2 linked regions of the Rhinolophus ferrumequinum genome follow. The protein of the gene in region 1 binds, or shares a complex with, the protein of each later gene. Links are inferred from orthologs where the notes say so. Each region holds a gene or a part of one and is shown on either strand. Other genes may lie near its edges. The genes, in order: DRC1 and EFCAB2.

What was found.
Region 2: DRC1 (region 1) and EFCAB2 share a complex: the UniProt entries of both Homo sapiens proteins name them as parts of the nexin-dynein regulatory complex. The link is inferred for Rhinolophus ferrumequinum from reciprocal best matches to the Homo sapiens genes DRC1 and DRC8.

Annotation. Positions count from the first base shown.
Region 1 is NC_046296.1:54,079,204-54,089,795, forward strand, and holds the start of DRC1 (dynein regulatory complex protein 1), read right to left. Parts: upstream 4,838-10,592; 5' UTR 4,750-4,837; coding exon 4,595-4,749; intron 2,740-4,594; coding exon 2,652-2,739; intron 1-2,651. UniProt on the Homo sapiens protein: Component of the nexin-dynein regulatory complex (N-DRC) a key regulator of ciliary/flagellar motility which maintains the alignment and integrity of the distal axoneme and regulates microtubule sliding in motile axonemes.
Region 2 is NC_046310.1:16,397,083-16,408,529, forward strand, and holds the start of EFCAB2 (dynein regulatory complex protein 8), read right to left. Parts: upstream 4,616-11,447; 5' UTR 4,502-4,615; exon of another isoform or gene 4,372-4,501; intron 4,019-4,371; 5' UTR 3,920-4,018; coding exon 3,889-3,919; intron 1-3,888. UniProt on the Homo sapiens protein: Component of the nexin-dynein regulatory complex (N-DRC), a key regulator of ciliary/flagellar motility which maintains the alignment and integrity of the distal axoneme and regulates microtubule sliding in motile axonemes.

The sequences.
Region 1 (10,592 bases):
ACTCATTGACTTACCTAGTAATGGGAATTTGGCTGAAATTGCCTGATACAATCAGCTCAGGTGGCTCAGAAACATTCCATCTCTTTTAAGCCATGTCATTTCATTAGAGTGGTTTGGGAGTAGGTAAAACCACCTTGTCTGTATAAAGGTATGTAAGCAGTTACTGTTTTTGTCCAGAGCTAGTCACACTGTTTATATAGTGTGATGTCAACAGCCCTGGGGGTTGCCACGTGTGAACCAAGTTAGCAATTAACAGTGTCATGTCATACTTTTCCGTGGAGGTAGTTGTCACTCTGGGTGTGGGTAGTGACTGTCAAGGGTTGGGGTGGGGGCCAGGGCTGACAGTGAAGACTGAAGTAGGGGGAGTGGAGGTTCTGAAGCGACGAAGTCCCCACTTCAGGTTGGCTGCTGGGAAGAAACTGGAGCAGCCCCAAGAACTCAGAGATATTATGGGTTCATTTCCAAACCATCACAATGAAGTGTGTAGTATTCATCTTTTTGGTGGTGGGGTGTCTTGCCTTCAATATGTAAAAAATGCAACATCTTTTCCGCCTTCACAAAACTGATTTTGTAACTTCTATTTCCCTTAGAGGCTACCTCAGTCTTCATTTCCACCTTATTTTCCCTGGATGGGCATACCGGAAGCAGGGAGGAGGGCAAAGGTTGCTGAGAAAGACATGAAGGACCTTGATGGCGGAAAAACCAGGAGGTAGGTTTTCAACCACCATGGTGCCACCTTCCCGAACCGCAGAGTATTTTGGGGAACCTGGAAGGCCACATTTCCACACATCATGGTGTCTGGAGACACTTCTCATTAGATTTTTGAAAACTGTGAGTCCTACCTTTATTCCACACACGCAAATCAATTCAGGATAGATTACAGACCAAAATGTAAATAGTAGAACAGTTTTATTCTTCCAGTAAAAGAAAATACGGAAGAATAGCCTCATCAACTTGGAGTAGATGAAGATTAAACAAAAAACAAAAAGAATTATCCTTAAAAATGATTAATAAGGTACAATGCCAAGGACAGGAGCCCCTCCTGCCCAGGTCTTAGGGCAGAACTGGTTTTTAATGCCTTGATATTGTGGAAGGTAACATTTTTTGGTATACATTTCTCCTTGATGACAATGCATTTCATGACTTAAGTCCTAAGTGAAAGGAACCTTGAAAAGTTGCTAATGAAAACAATATCATCCTTTTGGTTTTATACTCAATTAAAGCATTCTCAGGATGAACTGTATATCAGCATTTTCAAGATTATATCAATATAAACTATAACAGTATTTTCAAGATTACGTATAATATCCTTTTGATCCTACACAGAAATGCTCAGAGATCACTGACCCTTTAGATGGAGAAACCCAGGTACAAAGAGGTGACATGACTCATGTACTTCCCAGTAAGCAACAGGTCTGGACTGAGAACCCACCACAGCTCAATATTCTTTCCACTACAGTAAAATATCTCATCCTGGACTCGGTACAGTACAGGTTATTCTCCATGTGTCTCTATGCTCTGTAATAATATTTCAGTAGCTTGAATATTTTTTCTCCCAGTTAAGTACATTTCAATTTCTGCCAGAAATGATCTCTCTCCTCTCCACTTTTATAAATCCCACCTATTTTTCTAAGACCTGGCTCAAATCCCACTTTCTCCATATGACCTTCCCTGACCAAACCAGCTTAGTTAGCAATTTTGCGTATCTCAATTCCTACAGTACCACTGTCTATGCAGTTCACTTCACAATTAATTCAATGCGGCACTTTGCCAGGTCTGGCTTGCTATTTTGAACTGGTGTTTTTATCCCTCCAGCACCTCTTGTTCCAAGTCCTTTATTAAATATCCCAGGAGCCCTGTCATTGCCATGGGAGACAATCGATTTTCTTTTTCGTGTTTGTTAAGTTATGCACTACTCCACAGGCACACAAACAGGCTCTCGCTCTCACAGAGCTTATAATTTCATTGGGGACATCGTGTGCACACACATTGGAAAAGTCATACAAGGCAGAAAATTATCCAAGATGAAATGAATTCCATAGACAAAAAGGGCTCAATGTGTGAATTAAAGTTCAGCCTGGGCTGCGGAGGAACTCATGGAAGGGTTGGAACTTAGATGGTCTTAAAGTGTGGGAAGGTAACCTGATGTCAGGAGAGAAGAAAGAGTAAAGGAGAGAAGGGAGGAAAAGGGGAGGAGAGGAGCTTGGTATTCCAGATGGTCAAAGGAACAAAGCAGGAAGAAGCACGCCCCACTGGAGGTGAGTAACTGGATGGGCCTAGCCAAAGTGGAGGCCCAAATTCGGTGATAATGGGAGAAAAGATTGGAGAGTTCAAATGTAGACAGACTACAAAAGGCCTTGAATGTCAAGCTAAATCATTTGGACTTTATCCTGTGAATAAATACCATTAAAAGTGTGGGAGCAAAGAAGACACAGCATCACATAAGAAATTATACTATGAAAGCTCAGTCCTAGAGAGCTCCCCAAATGGGGAACGTTCAAACTCAGTTCTGCCAAGAGACAGAAATAGAATCTCTATTGAGACTTGATCTCTACTGAGTTTCTTCTAGTCTAAATACGAAAACCATGGCATCACACCCAGCTCTCTAGTCTCACAGGCCTGAGAGGACTCATTTGCTACCCAGTTCATACCAGTCTGCTTTCTTCTTTCTGTTTATAGCTCTTGCTTTGATCTTCCTCACTCTCTTTCTTTCCATCTAAATAGTCTCCAAGCGCTTCCCTGTGATGGAAAACAGTAGAGAAACTGAAGTTATTTTCAGTACTTAAAATCTATATTCAAAGTTTCCGTACTACTTCATACCACATACAAAAATATACTTCATATGGTTAACAATGTAAATATAAAAAAACACAATCATAAAACACTAGAAGTAAATACAGGAGAGAGCCCATCTCAGAATAAGACCAAAGTTTGAGAGAGAAAAAAGATTGAATGATTTTACTTCCTAAAATTTTTCGATTTTATTCTTGAAAGTCAAGGGAGAAACCAGTAAAAGATATTTGATGAAATTTTGCTCTCTATAAAATAGAAAGGGCTCCTTCAAATCAATACAAAAAAAGACAAAATACCAAATAGAAAAGGTGGCAAAGAGTGTGAACAGGCAATTTACAGAAGAAATACGAATGGCAAATAGACATTTGAAAATATGTTCAACTTCACCTATAACCAGAAAAATGAAAGTGAAAACCCTATAAGGCATCATTACCCTCCTATCAGACTGGAAAAGATTTAAAAAGTTGATAATAGTATTTACTCACACTCACGGGGCCGTGTTCATTCTCCTGATCTCTGTCAAAGTATAGTCTGAATAGATCCGGACCATCTGGATATCTCACAGAACATCACACTGATAAACCATATCAGGATTAGCAAACTATAGCCTGTGTGACAAATCTGACCCACCTGTTGTTGTATGGCTCACAAGCAAAGAATGATTTTTACATTTTTAAATGGTTAAAAAAATATGATCAGGATGAACAGGCAGAGCACAGAGGATTTTTAGGGCAGCAAAACCATTCTGTACAATACTTAACAGTGGATACATGTCAGTATATAGTTGTCAAAATCCATAGAATACCAAGAGTGAAACAACATGGACTTTGGGTGACAATGATGTGTCACTGAGGTTCATCAATTGTAACAAATGTACCACTCTGGTGGGGATGTTGATGGTGGGGAAGGTTATGCATTTGTGTGTGGGGGGGGGGGATAGGAGGTATATGGGAAACCTCTGCGCTTTCCACTCGATTTTGCTGTAAACCTACAACAGCTCTAAACACGAATTTTATTAATTTAGAGGAAAAAAGATCAAAATACAAAGAACATTTTGTGACATATAAACATTACGTGAAATTCACACGTCAGTGTCCATAAGTAAAGTTTGGTTGGAACACAGCCAGGCCACTTTGGGCCCCGTGTGTCCAATGGCCACAGATGAGAAGCCACCGTCTCGGTAGGGCAGCCGACCCTGACCAGCCGGACAAGGTGTAAGTGCTGTTACATAGCGAGGGCGTTCAGGAATTCAGGGGGTCACACAGGTGCCTCCTGGTACCCCTGAGGACAGCCAGTCCACTGTGACTGAATGGATGGCGCGGGACGCCCTGGCCTGAGAGGGGTAAGGTTCTCCATCTCAGACTCTTCACGAGCGAGGCTTTGTGTCACACAACCAGATAAGCCACTGAAACCAGAAATAATAGCTGAGGTCCACTGGGTAAATACTTGTGGAGGAAGGCAGGTTGGGAGGAAGGAGAGACATCTCCGAGGACAGGCCATGCATGGCCTGCATTTCAGTGTATTCGCCACAGTGCCTGGTGCAGCAGGCAGTCAACAAAAGTGCTGAAGGGATTATTATTTCCGCCTTTGACTTTACTAGTGTTAAATGTTTTAGTGTCTCCTACTTTGCTTGCACCTGTTTTCTCTCTCATTAAGAAACAAGGCCCGCTCACACTTGGGGCACTCCGGCCCCTCACCTCAGGGGCTCCAGCGCCGGTCAACGGCTCCCCTCAGCCCCGCACTACCTCCGGGGTTCCGGGGCTCCCGGGTCCCGCGGCCGGCCCGCCCACACCCCGCTCACCGCCTCCGGGCTTCCAGGCGCGCCGCTATGCGGAGACGCCGGGCCTGGATCCGCTCCTGAGGGTTATCAGAATGGACCGAGGGCCGGAGAATCGAAGCGGATAAATGCTCCTCCTCTGTCTCCTCCAGGTCCCCCAGGGGTCCGGGCGGATTCATAGCGGTGTCTCCCCAGGCAGCTCCGCGGGGACCGCCGCCAGACCGCCGCCGCGTTGCTAGCAACAAGCAGTTACTAGGGAAAAGCAGTCACCTGACCCGCGGCGGAAGTGAGTGTACGCGCAGTTCTTTAGGCCCCGCCCACCGGCATTCAGAACGTGGTGCCCCAGCTTTGGGCTTTATTGCTCTCTCCTGCAGTTGGGGTGCACGGTCCTGGGCCACCACGAAGGCCCGGTCATATTAGCGGAGACTGGAAGACTAAAGAGCTGGACCAAGTTGTGGTTCATTGCTTACAGATGATGAATTCATCGTTCATTCACTCATCAAACGAACATTCCTCAAAATCATGTTCATCAGATATTATTGAGCACCTCTGTGCCAAGCGCTGTGCTAAGGGTATGGGTGTTGACCTTTCCTCATGGATGGTACAGAATAGGTCTGCTCCGAGCCTACTGCCTCTTTGGAAAGTTTGAACTAAAGTATATCGCATCCATCTATTCATCATCCATTCATTTTTGAGGTCCTACTTTGTGCATGGAGCACCTCTCTCCGCTAGAACGTGAAACCCCCAGCTATCAATAAATTTTTACCCAGCAAGGGATTGTTGTCTCCTGTAGCCGTTTTCAGTAGGGCTAAAACCTAGGACAATTCTACCACCACTACCCTCAATCACATACTTACAGAAAGAAGAAAGGGGGAGCAGAGGGAAATAGTACCCAGAGGCGTGGGGGGCCGGGAGAAATAACAGGGTACAGAAGCACAATTAAACCCTCAAGGAAGCATTGTCCCTTGAAAAAGCCCTATTTCCTGGGTGTTTTTTTGTCTCGTTGTCAACAAAAATAGTATTCTTCTTGAGAGTTAAAGCCCTTTAAAAAAAAACAAACTGGATATTTGACAGGGTCTTGTTCCATTGACCTGTGGGAAACTGGGGAAAGGGCTCTGGAGTAGTGAGAAAATGCGGGTCCTAGTCCTAGACCTGCCCTGCAGCCTTGGATAAGTCCCAACCACGTGAGTACCATTTTTCCAACTGGCATATGGTACTACTCTCGGCCTACTCAACTCAGGCAATTGTGGGGCCAAAGAAGACAAGCGCTTTGTAAGACCTCCCCAGAGGCAAAGAGTTTTGGTGTTTTGGATTTTTTGCAAGTCTACAAGTGATAGATTTAGGAGTGCCAAAATTCTGGAGCAAGTGCCAAAATCTTGGAACAGCCAAGAGTTCCAACAGCTGCCCAAATCCTTGTCCCACATCTTGGGGTGAGCAGTGGGGGTAGTAGTATGTTTGCTTTGGGGTTTTAGGGATCCGTCAAATCTCTCTCCCCTTTAGTTGTAACCTCAAGTATTAAACTTCCCTAGGGGCCATGGAATCAGAGGTAGTGCTCTGACCAGGAAGCCTACTGGTCCTGGCCCACGTTTGCACCACCTTGAGAAGAGAAACAAATCCAAGTGTGTGTGCACGACTACGGCTGGGAGTTGGCTGCCATGAGAAAGTCAGTGGGAATCAGCAGTTACATGGGACACGTACCATAAAAAGCGATGGAGAGTGATCAATAAGATACTTGGCCATCAAGGTATCCCCGATACCATCACTCCAGACAGATAAGGAATCTGACTCCCTTTTTTGCTGTTTGATTTCTGACAGCCTTTAAGCTTCACAGCTTTTTTTCCCTCTGCTCCACATCTGGGCAGCTGACTTTAAAAAACAAACAAACAAAGCCTGGGTGCTCTCTCCTTTGGCCCTGGCTGGCGGGAGGTTCCAACAGTGTGCATCCATCCCCACCCCTTAACCACAATAAAAGCCCTGAGCCAGGCTCCTTTCCTGGCTCTCTCCAGCCATCTTCCAACCAACTGGGAGATCTTCCTTGTGGTCAGACAGCCCTGATTACGTAATAAATCTCTTTAAAGACACTCATTCACTGCTGGTAGGTACCTTTTAGGACAGTTTGCCAATACCTCTCACTAAGTATATGCATGGACTAAGCAATTCTACTTAAAAGAATTATCCTGGGGATAATGGGTCTAGGCTACAGCTCCATTGGGTTAAAATTACGTCAATTTTATTCAGCACTGTTACATACAGCACCTAGCACAATAGCTGGTATGTACATGAGTGCTCAACAAATATTTTTCTAATGAAACGTACAATTTATTTGTATGCTCACTGCAGTTATCTGTAATATTATGGATGTAACCCAAAATCCATCAATAGGGGAACTAATTAAGCATTCATGGGATGAGAAACAATGTAGCCACTATAAATCTAACCTAGAAAGACATCCAAAATATATTACAGAGGAAGAGATTAGGCAGCACAATATGTAGAGGATGATCCCAATTTTATTTAAAATATATGTAGTATGTACACAAGAAAAATGAGGGAAAAACACAAAGTAGTTGATATCTCTGGGGGTTAGGTCTATGGATGATTTTTAATTCTCTAAAAAAATTTACAAAGAACACAAATCATTTTTCATGTAACAAAAAATAAAGTTTATTTTTTCATTTAATTTTTTTTTTTTTTTAAAGAGTGGTAACAGGAGATCCTGAAGAGACTGTAGTGAGCAAGAGTAGGGCTCACAGATGAGAGGTTTTTGGGGGAGGGACATAGGAGAATTCACTGGCCCCTGGAGTCTGGTCCTCAACTGGTAGCCCATATTCCAAAAGCAGACTTGCTTTTGAGAACTGACTTACACTAATAAGCTCAAAAAAGAAAAACATATAGAGAATACACTAATCTGAGCAAAAAAACTACAACTGACACACAGGGCATGTGTGTGTTTTATGACTGGTGACCAGCACATCTACGTGTCTGACCTACAAAGGGAATCAAACTATAACTGGGAAGTTTCTTGATGATATACAATGGACTCAGGAGCCCACGATGGGAACAACTTGCCACAAAGACTGAACAGGTCAAGTCCTTGGGGCATGGCACCCTCATCCCTGGGGAAGTTTTGGGTGACAAAAGCAAAACCTGGATATATGGGCTTCCTTTGCTATGCTACAGGCTGGTCATTCACTTCAGCTTAGTCTTCTTCCCGAAAAAGAATTATGTTGGTTAAATTTTGGCATACTAAGTCACACACGTCTTAATTCTACATCCATAAGGTCACACCGAATCACCTTAATTGGGATTTGGGGATTCATCAAACATTTACATAATTTCTTGGTTTACCCCTATCTCCCATTTGATATGAATTATACTAATAGATTCTCAGAAGGCAATCTTGTTTTCTTCATTTCTAGTTATTTTTAGAACTGTCTCATCATCATCTTTATGTATTGCCTACAAAAGGTATGAAAGGAGGAAGGGAAGTCATGAGTAGGTCATATGGCTTAGGGAAAACATCAAAGGTAAAAAACTTGAGAACTAGGTATTAGTAGAAATCAAGCACCTCCCTGAGACCACTCAGTGCTAAACACACTACATGCATTATTCATAACACGTAACTGTGGTGATACTAATCCCATTTTACAGATGAAGAAACTGAGGCTTAGAAAAAAATAAGTAACTTGCCCCGAGTCAAAGCTTGCAAAGTTGAACATAAGTTAAAAAAACAGTTGTTGGGGAGGCCGAATGGCTCAGTTGGTTGGAGCACAAGCTCTGAGCAGCAGGGTTGCCGGTTCGATGCCCACATGGGCCAGTGAGCTGCGCCCTCCACAACTAGATTGAAGACAATGAACTGCCACTGAGCTTCCAGAGGGATGGTCAGATGGCTCAGGTGGTTGGAGTGAAAGCTCTTAACAACAAGGTTGCTGGTTCAATTCCCGCATGGGATGGTGGGCTGCGCCCCCTGTACCTGGAGATTGAGGACTGGACTTGGAGCTGAGCTGCGCCCTCCACAGCTAGATTGAGGTCCGGTGACTTGGAGCTGATGGGCCTGGGAGAGGCGCACTGTTCCCCCATATTTCCCCAATAAAATTTATTTTTTAAAAAAAGTTGTATTAAAAGTTTGGGTGGCCTTGAGAAACTCAAAATGAAAACAAGAAGAAAAATGAAAGCAGTTAGGAAGTTTTCTTTCAGGAAATTTGTGATCAGAGGGAAAAGGATGAGAGCAGAAGAGGAACAAGACACGGTGGCAGCACCAGGTCCTTTAAAATTTAGATTGAAACCCAAGTGTGGTGACCTAGCACATACCTCTGGTGTGTCAGGTACTTGCTACACATTTGAAATGTGCAGATAGAAGGAAAGGTAACTGTGAGGGCAACCAAGAAGTTGGGAGGGCAGGGGATTAAGAGCACACAGCTGGATAATTAGCCTGGGTTCATATTGGGACATTTCTTCCTTCACCTTCTTCAAACCCATTACGATTTTTTTAAATGCCCATTGCCAGAACTGAAGAATAAATTCTGATGTAAAAAACAGGATGTAAAAAAATATTCTCCTCAAAAGCAATGCTAGAAAAACAAAGTTTTTATAAGAGCTTATCGTTCATATACTATAGTTTTGGGGTACTAAGTGTGGGTTATTAGGTTCTTGGAATTAGCCTGGAAAATTAACACCATACATTAACACTCTATGGGAAAATGTTTTGAGTATGAAACAACTACCTTACAAACTAATTTCAATGTGACCCAGGTATTATTATATATTGCCCAGTACCCATTTCTGGGGGAATCAAGAACAGTACATTATGAACAGTTGCTACTGCCAACTGCCTAGTAACTATGCTTTTTGAAACTAGTCACAGGATTATAGAACACCCAGGAGCAAACAAGGCTGATCTTTCTTAAAAAACAAAACAAAAAATCCTATTTAATGTTTTGCTCTAAAGACATCAATGATTCTTTGAGACAAGTGGCTGGACATTAATTTTCTCCCCAGAGCTCCCTCCCCTTTTGTACCTACCAAGGAAAAACAAAGAAGACAATCTGAAAACAACTGAAAGGATTTAAAAATTACTTACTCTTTACTTTTATTACAATAAATATTTATCAATAATAGAATTAAACAATTTTAAATTAAAACCTACTGCATTACTTTTGAGTTTCACAGCAGCAGAAATAAACATAAATACAGTTGAAAGGGCAAGGCTTCCAGAATCCAGTGGCAAGAAACAGTCAGGTCTTGATTATCTGGACCAACAATGGGGAACAGTAATTCTGATGATGCAAACACAATGGTGAAATGGCTGTACTCATTTGTACATCAAAGACTTGAGATGCAAAAACAATGATGAAATGCATGGCTGTACTCTAGCTGTACATCAAAGACTTTTCTAAGATATCACAACATTCCAGCTAAGGAATGTAAGCAAGTTGTGAAGCCCCACTTTTGCAAGAGCTAGATTCCTCCCCCATCAAGCTCAGGAGCAGAAGCGCTCCCAGAGCTGACTTCTGGCCAGGAGTGGGTCCCATCATCGTCTAGACCCAGAAGACTCAACCCTGGTGGGAGCAGCTATCTTTCTCAGAAGTGGTCTTCCTGGCTCCCATAATCCCTGGTGAAAGGGAAATGGAAAGTGATATATCTCAAGGGCCTTTCTTGAGGGCTGAGATGAACTGGAAGTAGGCAAGATTGTGGCTCCAAGTGGGGAAGAGGCTTCACGGTAATGGGCTACATGCAGATTAAGTCAACATGAGTAAAGTGTAATGAGGGCTTACCACTTCGCTGATAATCAAGAGCAGACCGCATATTTATATGAATATATCATACATATATATGCACAGAGAATATATGTGTACATATTAAATATGTATATACATATACCACACATAACCAGATAAAATAAAGGCTACATTATTTACCATGAACACAGCAAGTCCTAGGCAGACCAATTACTAACATGTTCAATTAAACCACTTGAATGGGAAAATAAGATGTGCTCCTCTTCATCTACTTCCCTAACACA
Region 2 (11,447 bases), on another chromosome or scaffold:
CAAGTAAAAAAATATACACATATAATGTTATCTTACATGTTACATTACAAAATGTATTATATTACATATATGAGAGAATGATAAAAATGTGGCAAAATGTTGAAATTAGTGAATCTGGGTAAAGGGAATGTGGGAATTCTCCACTATTACAATTTTTCTGTAAATTTGAAAGTATTTCACAAAATTAGAATTATTTCATAAAATTACAAAACTATTTTTAAAAATGTTTCATTTACACTTAACACACAACACTATGTTAGTTTCAGGTGTACATTATAGTGATTAGACATTTATGTAACTTATAATCACCTCAATAAGGCTGGTAACGATAATAATTAGGGCACGTCACTCTCTACTATCAACTGTACCAGGCATCCCTAAATTCTAAGTCTCTGATTTAAGGTCGTCAGAGGGTAAACTTCCAGTCTTCTAGAAGGGAAGTGATCACCTGCTTACTCCAGGGAATGGAAGATTCAACCACCTGCTTTATGACTTTTATCCAAACCTCCTATATTTACCCTCACTCCACACACATGCCTTCAGAGATGCCTGCTGCCTCCAACCCTGTGCCTTCCCAGGGTTTTACAGATCCACTTGGTTTGCTACCTTTTGGCTCCCTCTTCTACAGGCTTATATTTATTTAGAATTTTATTCCTAAGCAGTTTGTTTTCTAGGCATGATTCTAATTACAAACAGAAGATACTTCCACTCCTATATAAAATTCTCTAGGAGACAGACACAATAAAATAAGATTTAAAGATCCAAAGAATCAACTATTGCATTGATTCTCCATTTAAACAAAGATTTCTTAATGTAGGAAAAAATAAATTATACTATATTAAAGCACAAAAAAGCTACAAATAAGCATAGACTTCAAATGTACATAATCTTACAGAAAATTTTTATAAAAAGAACATAATAGCCCATCATAGATTTAGTTAACTTTTTTTAACCAACATTCTCAATACTTATATCAAGATTAATCCCTAAATGTGGAAGAGCTGGATATAATGGCTACTCTCAGAAACTTAGTTCTCCTTAACAACTAAATAATATATCTCACGATTAAAGATGAACTAGTTAAAACATATGCATATTTCTACAAAGATAATTTTGTGGTGGTTGTTTTTTAAAGACAGGCTAGTGAATACTTTGGCTTTCAAAAATTGTTGAGCCAGATGAAATAAGCCTACCTATAACGAAGAGGAAAAAAAAACCTAACAACAGTTTTATCTACTTTTAGGTAGAAAATAAATTTTGGGGAAACAGCAAGCAATGCTTTGGTTAAAACATAAACATCTTTAATTAATTCAAATGATCTAAATTCAACAAATATTGAGTTCCTACCATGAGCTGAGCACTGTACAAGACAATGAGTATATGGTCCCCGCCCTCTTGAACTTTATAGAGTAATGGATATATCCTCCAAAATTATCCTTTCTTTTGTGTGAATCCATGATCATCAAGCACTTTTTAAAATATAAATTCACCCTCCTTAAAACCTTAATACCCGTGAAACTATATATTTACATTGCAGAGATCAGCTTTCTGGTCAAGACGTCAACATACACTATTTAAGTTAATAAATCATTATTCAGGATTGCACATCACTCTTCATGAGTTTAGTTAGCTTGAGTGACTCCCCAAAGTCTGATCAATTCTGATTAATTGGCTAGATGTAATTTCTAATCTTCAAAGCTGAGAATCAAATATAGGAGTGCAATGTCAATACAAAGATTATCCTCAGACAGCATGTGCCTTTATTTCATCATGCCCTTCAAAATGTAATTATAGTTAACTCAAAAAATTGTTAAGAATAAATGAGATATACCATACAACAGTGCTTCTCAAACTTTAATGTGTATATGAGTCACCAAATCTGTTAAAATGAAGACTGATTCATAGGTCAGGAGCAAGAACTGACATTTTTCTTTTCTAATAAGCTCCCTGTGATGCCCAGGCTACTGTCCACACACCAGGAGCTAGAACACCCCTGGGACAGTATCTGGCATACTGGCTTCTCAGCGCCATTAACTGTTCTTCCCATTGTGGATATCTTATCTCCCCTACAGATCTTACCTTTCTAGGGAGAAAAGATGAGGGCTTTGTCATCTTTATATCCTCCAAAGTTCTAACCTAATCAGAATGCCTTCCATATGATAGGCATTAAATATGCCAACTGAATGAATGACATACAGCTTTTAACAGTCATTACTTCTTCTATACTTATAGACAGATTGTTTCTCCCTCTGAATTATTTTAAATAATGTATTTCAAAAATATTTCTGAAAACTGAAAAATCAGAAAAGCTCTCAATCTATTTTTAAAGTAAAGAAAAAAATTGTATTTGCAACATAATCCAGTGCTTTGTTTCTCATGCTGACCTAATCAAATCTTTTGCTAAAACACAAATATCCACAAGTAACTTATCTCCTAATGATTGTTTACATTTTTGTAAGAATTAATTAAAATAACTAAGTCATTTGGTTTTCTGAGTTTTAAAAAAAACCGTACAAATAATAATTTTATTAGAATGTACCTTAATGCAGTATGATAACTTATAAGGACATCTTAGGAACGTTGACATCTATATAAAATAATTCTGTCCTTTCAGACTAAGGGTACCATGAAAAAATGAAATAGTATGACTCTTATCTATAGGCAGATCTTCGCAGTTTTTGTGCTTCCCCGCTGAATTTTCTGTGATCACCATGACAACTGACTATCTCAGAACTGGCTTCTTCACTTGTAAATATTAGTTGTTAACCTGAAACACTTTGTTCCATGCTGAGAAAAAAGGCATGTTGATAGGGTGTGCTTAGATCTCTCAAAAAAGGAAACAGAGGTGGAATGAATTACTTTCATTTCTAAGATGTGCACCTCTACAGTTATGGCTTGATGTTGGTTTTGCGATGAGTCTGCCAATTCCCAAACATAAACAGACATTTTCGAGTAAGAGGATGGTAACCCAGTATTGGATTATACTGTTCAGTGAAAACAAAGGTCTTGCAAATAAACGTGGATAATCGCTTCTCCGCACAAAAGAACACATCAATCCTTCCGATCTAGTGACCAGGAGCCTGGAAGCCCCGTCCTTCCACGTTGGCCGCGCCCGTGACCGGGTTGGCGGGCTGATGCGGCCGCGAGCCCGCGGCAAAGGCCGAGTCGGCGCACGGGAGCTAGTGCGCGTTCCCGCTCGATTGCTCTGTCGTCTTTATTAACATCGTGTTTTGTTTTGTGTTTTAAAACAAAACCCCAGACGGGTGGGCGCAGCCGGTAGAGCAGAGGCATTTCGGAGCCTAGAGGCGCGGAGGGGACAACTGTGACCTCGAGGCCGTCCTCCCATGTCCCCGGTGAGGAGGCAAAATGGTGGCCGCGGGAGCCAAACGCCTGGGGAGGGGGAGGGGTTGCGGCGCGGCCGGAGAGGACCCGGCGGCCAGGCCCGTCCTCACCCAGGACGGCCCGGGGACCACAGCTCCGGAAGCTGCCGGCGTGGCGCCTGCGGCCCGGAGAGCCGGGGCGACGGTTTGGAAGCGGGGTCCCCGCGACCGTGAACAAGGACGCCATTATCGCCCTACGCCGCCAGTGCCTCGGCCGCAACCCAGGCTGGAACCGTGGCTCGGTCCCCCGAGGGAGGGACGAAGAAGGGGGACGGGAGGAACTGGGCGGGCGGGGCGGGGAGGAGACCGAGGGGGGCGGGGCGGGGAGGAGACGGGGGCGGGGCGGGGCCGAGGCGTGGGCCGGGGAGGCGGCGGGAGCCGGGGAGAGCGGCCCCCTCCGCAGTCACCGCGCCCTGCGGTGGGAGTTCCAGATGGAGGGTCACCCGGCCCCACCCGGCGCTCCCCTGCGCGGCCCGGGTCGCCGCGGGCGGCGAGGGCAGCCTCTTACCTGAGTGTTCCCTTTCTTTATTGTCCGCCATCTTGTGCGGAACCCGTTGCCCGAGAGACGACGGTCGTTAACCGAGGGCGCGGCGTCCTTGCCCCTCCAGCCCCCGCGGCGAGTCGGGCCTGGAGGACCGCTGCTCGAACCCGGAGGGAAGGAGACCCTTAATCGGGGGAAGGGGCGACTCCGAGCACGCGCCCTTCCCCCACTTCCCGCCGCGACCCTCGCGCGCCTGCGAGACCCGAGCCCGGTCCCGCCGCCCCCCGCGCCGCTCCACCGGCTGGAGCACTTTCCCCGCAAAAGCGGAGCCTCAGCCCTGATTTCTCTGACGTAGAGGAGTTATTTAATAAAGTTCCGAAAGCCTCCTTTCCTTTATTTTTGATGCATTTGGGGACATCAGACACACAGCTATCGCCCACCCCTCCTGGGACGACGTGGCGTTACTCGATTTTTATTTTTGATTTTTTTACTGCAGATTTTAAAACGCACCTGGAGAGCTGGGTGAAGCGCCCGACTCCCGAGGGGGTGACAGAACCCCCCCGCAATCCCGCCTCCTCCCCCTTCCCACCCACCGCCCGCGTCGCGCTGGGAAGCGGCTGGCTGCGGCGCAGAGGCCGACCTGCCCCTGCTCTTGCCGTCCGCCTTTGCTCCGCTCCAGGCATGGCTCGCCGCCGGCTCCCAGGGACGGCGACTGCACCGCCTATGGGAACTGGAGCTAAACGCAAAACTCGGCCGGGTGCAAGAGGAAATCAGAGCCATTTGACTGTTATTACTTGAAGAAAGAAATAGCTGGAGAAAAACGTGTGCAAAATAGGTTGCGTCGTCAAGGCTGCAATTTCTGATACGGAATAGGTTCTCCTAGCGACAAAAAACGTGCCCGAGTTGTGCTTATTGCTACAATAGGTTAAGATGTTCTTAGTTGTGAAATTGGACTTGACCTCTAGTTAAAGTTACTATGGAAAAGTCCTACAGCCCGCTTTTCTGAAACTTGCAACTGGAACATGATGTTAAATTTTGGTCTCTAAAATTTTAACGAGAAGTTCACTATACAAGAATATTTTCTTTTTAAGATGATTTTTGAATAATATGCCTAATAATGAGGGTCAAACGAATATGTATTTTTAAAACTAATCTTGGATGATTTTTTTAAGTGCATATGTGTACTAATGTAAATGACTTGATGTTATGTAAAAACAGTAAGAGGCCTTCAAAATACAAGGTATTCTATGATTTTACTGTTTTTATGCTTTTTATTAATTCTGGTTCTATAATTTCTCAGTAAACCCTAAAGCAAACTACGATTTTTCTTTATTAAAGTAAGTACTTTTTCTATAGAAGATATTCATGTGGTGCTGTGATCAGCATTCTCTTTGAAACTGAATATAAACGATGGCATCATCACAAATGGCTCATATTCAAAGATAGATATTTATAAAAATGAATACAATTGTGTACAGTAAATTCTTCACACCCAAAAATATGGAAAGTAATCATTAGCATTTATATGTAAATGTCATAGTCATTATGGTCTACTTATTTGTTTAAAGAGGCCCACTGGCCATATAGATAATGAAGGGCTTTGAAATAAATGTAGAAAACCAACTTTGGTCTCAGGTTTATTACCTATACCTATTTCCTGTGCCTTTTCTCCTATGCTGTTTTGCATTTCTCTTTTTCTGGAATGCCTTTCTCTTCTCTCTCCCTACCCCAACATTCACCCTCCCACAGTCACATTTGTTCCCTCCTGGTTGTCACTGACCTCCTTGGAAGCTTTTCCTGTCAACCTCTTCCTCTATCCTGTACTCATAGAGCATCTCACATTGATTGTCGATGACTTTGTTTTGCTAAAATACAAAATTCAACCAAGTAAATTTGAAGGTCTAATTGACTGTAGTAAGCGATTCATGAATTGGGCAGCAACCCCGGTAGCAACAAGAAGGGAGCTCCAATGAATTGTACAAAATGGAAGGTTTTATAGGCAGAAAGAAGGTGGCACTAGGAAGTTAAGAGTAGGTTATTTCAGGCAAGGACATCATCCCTTAGAGGAAGGCAGGGTGTCTAATCATGCAGATTACCTAACTGGTGTTGGTCAGGAAATTCCAGACTGTTTTCAAGTTTCACACCTGGGAAAGACTGAAACTGCAGTTAAGTTAAGTTATTAAGTTTCAGTAACATGGCTTAGCAAAAGTGACTCCATTTTGGCCTGTTGATTCTTCTTTTAACAGTTTATTTGCTTGTTTCCTTCTACCAAACTAAGCTCTTGAGGATAGCAAACGCTTTATTTGTCCATATATCCCCAATGCCTAGAACAATTTTTCAACTTTTGTGTCTGAAATAATATGTATTTTAAAAATTAAACCAGGAGTTAGTCTTGTCAATGATTGAGAAGCAAAGTTTATTATTTAGATTATTCCAAACCACATTAATCTCTACTTCTCTGAATTCCCACAGCATATTTAATACAATACTGTTTCTCTAAGTTTGACTGAGTAAAAAAAAAAATTTAATAGATGTTAATTAACCCCTCCCCCCAATTAGGTTTGAAGACAAGAGCCTAATCACCTTTTATATACCCACAATCCCTAGCCTAAATTGGGGCACATATTAGAAGCTTAATATATACTTTTCAATTGATTAATTAGACGTAAAAGTATGTAATTATTCTGGAAAACTTTCCACGAAGTGAGAAAATAACCGAATAACACAATAAAGGCCCACAATACCAATGAGTAATTATGTGCATTATGCTGATATTTGACTCAACTTTCCACTTTTCTTTGGTTGTGGAAACTTGACCTCCAATTTTAACTTTTTTGAAATATAATTAGCTCACTTAGGACAATGGCAAACTACAACCATTTCTTTTCCTTAGAATATATTTCGTTTCCGAACTATAGATTGAGTAACTTTGTAATATTATATGCTGCTAAGGCATTCTTTCACTTAAGAATCTCAGTGATTTTGTCAGAAATACAGAATTGGAAAAATTATTTTTGTTCCCATTCATGGATATATAACCTTAGGACTAAATCAGAAAAGCAAGAGCATAGTTTTAGACTGTGACACTTACTTGATCAATTATTCAATGGGGACAGATGGCTATGAAAAAGTTCTGTCCTTTTGCATGTTTGAATGTACTGTGAGTTAAATCTTTTTCTATAGGTGTTAGTTCCGTGCCCATGAGGGACACGGGAACTTCTGTTTCTTCTGAATACAGTTGATTCAGTTACCTAAGATATGGGTGAAGTGGAATGGGTAATGGTGTGAATAATGCAAAATGATAGTCAAAAAAATCTTCATATTTACTTTCCTCATATGGCAATCATTGAAATCTCCTTGGACTAGGCAGGAATAAGCTGAAAAAACAAAAACTGGATTTTCCTCCGTCATTGCCAGAACTGACCTCCTGACCCTAGGCAGGTCAGGTCATATAATCTCTAAAACTTAGTTAACTCAGAAAGAGTCGCAGCAATGTCCAAACTACCTATCTTAATGTTTTCAAGACACTCAATAGATATAACCAGAAGTTTTGAAAAGAACCTGCAAGGAAATCTGCTCTCGTTAAATGAAAAAAACCCCACTTCCACGTAGGAAAGAGCCCTTAAAGGTCAAAGCCCAACTTCTTTCCTGAGATTCAGATTCCACTTGGAGAATTTGCTTTTCCAATGCTTCAGCTACACAGTGGGAGGTGGTCTGACTCCGGGCCTCTGCTGCCTACGTGACAAGATCTATTTTACATGATAGAGGTCACCATCTTCAGTGTGTGGCCCCTTCCTGGTTTCCATCTAGCCATTTTTAAACCTTACCAAGCAGGAGTGACCTTAAGCATATCTAGAATCCTTGAGCTCTAGACCCAGCAAAATAAGAGGGAGGGAATTGCTTCTCTGGTCTGATTCCCGTTTCCTAACTGAGGATACAGCCCTTCCCTGGATAATTCACATCAAGAATGCCCAGCCCCTCAAGGAAGACTCTCGACACCTACCCAGAGTGCAAGTAGCCTTACCCTATGATCTCAAAAGGAAAACCTTATCAGAATACAACAGAATAACAGTTGGGTTTCATTACAGTTATAAAAATAAAAATAACTCAAAAGAGTACTTTGTATACATTATCTCTTTTAATCCCTATAAGGCTGATACTAGTATCCCCGTTTAGTGCTATACTGCTTCTTTATAAATTCAAGATAACATTGTTCTATGCTATTTCGTAAACTGAATATCTTAAGAAGAATGTTAAGGACAAAAATTCTGGGCAGAATTAGTCAACTTCCGCCCCTACTATTATTTTTTTTTTTTACTGCTTCAGAACATCAACTAAAACAACTGGCAGAGACTCTTAGGGACTTGAAGGGAACCAGATGATGGCATGCCCTTTGTCCTTGTTTGACCAGACAGTTAAAGACCTGGCGTCTGGATGGCAGGAGAGGAGGTGAAACTCACTTGTCCACCGTGATCCAGTGGTCTGCTTACCTTCTCTTTCCTTCTCACTTTCCTGCACATGGAGATTTCAGGCCTCAATGGGGTTGAGGAGGTTGTGTTAAATTCTTGGCCCTGGACAAGAGCATTTTCAGTGCCACAGTTCCTTCAGGCTTTTCAGGGAGACCCAGAGCAGGAAGCTGGAACTGCAGCACTGGGGGCAGCTTGCAAGTAAATCTTACATGAATCCACAACTCTTGAAAACATTTGGAAAAATCACACTCTGGGCCCTATTTCTGTCAAAAACACATGTTTCTTTCTGATTCCTTTAAAAACACACATCGCCACAGCAAGCCACTGTTTAATTCATTATTACTTAAACATTTCCTGTCCTGAGAGCACTTTGCAGGGACACTCATTGCTAAGCAACTTTTGGTGAGTCTCTGCTCTTTATTCATTGACAATAAGACTTGAAAGGTAAAGGCTGGGAGCTGACCCAGAGAGTCAATAAATGTTTATGGCTGCTCACATCACCTCTTCCTGTTTACGTGGGAAAATAGAGAAAAAGTATAGAATTATGCTGATAATTGGCTTTGGGATGATTTTTCAGTTCCTGCTTCAAAAAGAAATTTTTGAAATTAAGTTTCATTTATGTTAATGTTTATGTTAGGAGATAATGCTGTGTAGAAGAATCAAGCAAATAGTCTTAGGAGATAAATGGGCCCAGAATTCAACCTCAGTCCTTTGCTCATTTATGCTATGACTTTGGATATGTTATTTCTTCTTTGTAACCTCAGTTTCCCCATCTGAGTTTACATGGAGGTTACATGGAGATAAGGAGATTGACCATTTGGGATATAGAGGCAACCTATAATTCTCGCTGCCTCGTTGCTTCTGGCCTGATGTAATTTCTTTGGCCTATGGCTATGTGACTCTCTTAGGGCTCTAGGACCAATAGCGATACTAGTCGGAGCAGTTACTATTTTCTAGAAACGATGCCAAGCATTTTACACGGACCACCTTACTTAATCATCAAAATAAGCCTATAAGAAGGATACTAATACGATGCCCATATTAAAGATGAAGAAACCAAGAGTTAACATTCCCAAAGTGCTTCTATCTCCTCTCCGAAGAGTTAACATTCCCAAAGTGCTTCTATGTGAGGAAATGTGGCTTTTCTCCTGCGGAGCCCCGAAGTCTCTCCTGAGATTCTGCCTCAGAATCTTATTCTGCATTTTTCATTTTCTTCTTGTATCAAGACCCAAGGCTTCGGCCTGCTCTCCTGTCTCTCAAAGGAGGCCTTGTCCATTCAGGGGGCTGAGGAGGGAGACTCTGAAGGGGGCTGGAGCATCCCTCTAGCTCCACTCTCCTTGCTACCCTTCAATACAACCATGTGGGCATTTTTTAAATTTCAAGGGTTTCACTGATGACCTAAAGAGACAGGATAATAAAATTAACAAATGAGGATGTTAGAAACATTCTGAACTCAGAAAATGTTTACAGATGTTGTTCCTGATTCATAAAGTTCTTGACTCTGTCTAAGACGGTAAGAGAGTGTGCCAGGTACATGTGGCTCTTACTTCTCCCCTACTGTACCAATAATTAGTTTTCCTTCGCAGAGTTTACACAAATTAATGACAGTCCATGTGGCTCTTACAGGACAAAAGAAAAATGGCCTATGGGGATAAATACATAGTTACAGATATATTACAGATGGACTTTTTAATTGCAATCTATAATCACCAAACAGATACTAAAAAGTAAATTTGTAATATTATTTTACATTACAGACAATTCCAGTACCCTTTGCCGCTTTAGAATTGAGGGGGAAATAGCTCAGTGCCATGCCTCACCTTGACTCTGTAGGCCTGGCCTGTGATCATGTCCATGTACACTGAATAAAATGCCTGTGACTAACAGATGAGACTAAATATTCATGTGACTTGAAAGCTAACTCCTTGATATTAATAAAGTTCCACATTACCCAGTAACTGCCCTAGAACAGGGATCTGTAACCCCTCCCCCAACAGAGGCCATCACAAAGCCAAATAACACAAACATACGAAGATCAAAATCTTCACAGGTTTTGCTGGGTTGATTTTCATTATACTTTGTTGTTGTTTTTTGTTTTTTTCAGGTCAGCTACAGCTATATTTTCAAGAAGGAAAGGAAGTGTGAGATTTGGAGTGAATAGTGATGACAGGAGAGAGAGGTTAGAAAGGAAGTTATTTTTAGGAAGGCTTGGATGGAGAGGGAGAGTCCTTTATGCACAGGGAATGAGGGTCAGGTAGTGGAGAGCCAAGGGAAAACTGGTTACCTGGTGAAGGGTTTAACTAGTTCTCTATTCCCTCTCGTTTCTTCTTACATATTCACAATCCTTCCTCACCAAGTAATAAAAGGAAGGCAGGTGCAAACTTCTGGAAGGTGATGGGGGGGGAGGGGTCTTGTTCTTTTTAGCCCCGCTCTCCATTCTTGGAGAAGGACCTTTCACTCAGTATTCAGAGAATATTTATGAAGTCTGTATGGACAGTCTATTGGTACAACAGGACGTCTACAAACCTGACAGCTGAGAGCTGTTCTCTAGTTGCTAAGATACTTTTAGAACTGGTAATTTTAAGCTAGCAGCTTTGGGGGCTTGGGGGTTTTTTTGGTTCCAAAGTTTATGAAATTATTGACCCACAAAACTGAAAAACCCACCCACCAAAGCTACTTTCTCCTTCAAATGATGTATAGTGTATACTATGCCTTTATCATAACCACAGCATACCCAACAGTGGTTTGTATCTACGTTATGGGATCAATTATCTGTTAAACAGAACACCATGAGGTGTGTCATCAGGTTAGACTAAGGGTGCTTTTCTCCAGGAGGTAAGTGGGGGGTTAGTCCTGTTTGTAAGGAGCAAGGGATTAAGTGCTCGCATCTTAACTAAATCTACTCACTAGGGTGTTTTATTTCAGGGCCTTCAGTAGATCTCTCAAGGCCTTTGAATTCATAGAGCTTTAACTAAGTAGAATATTAACTAGAAATTTAGTACTAATTGTAGCTGATCTCAGAAGGGCGAGAGCTATGTATTGTATTTGCCCTAATGGTACAACAATGCTTTTCATGGAAAAAAAAAAAAACAGCTATAACTAAGAATTTAATAATTA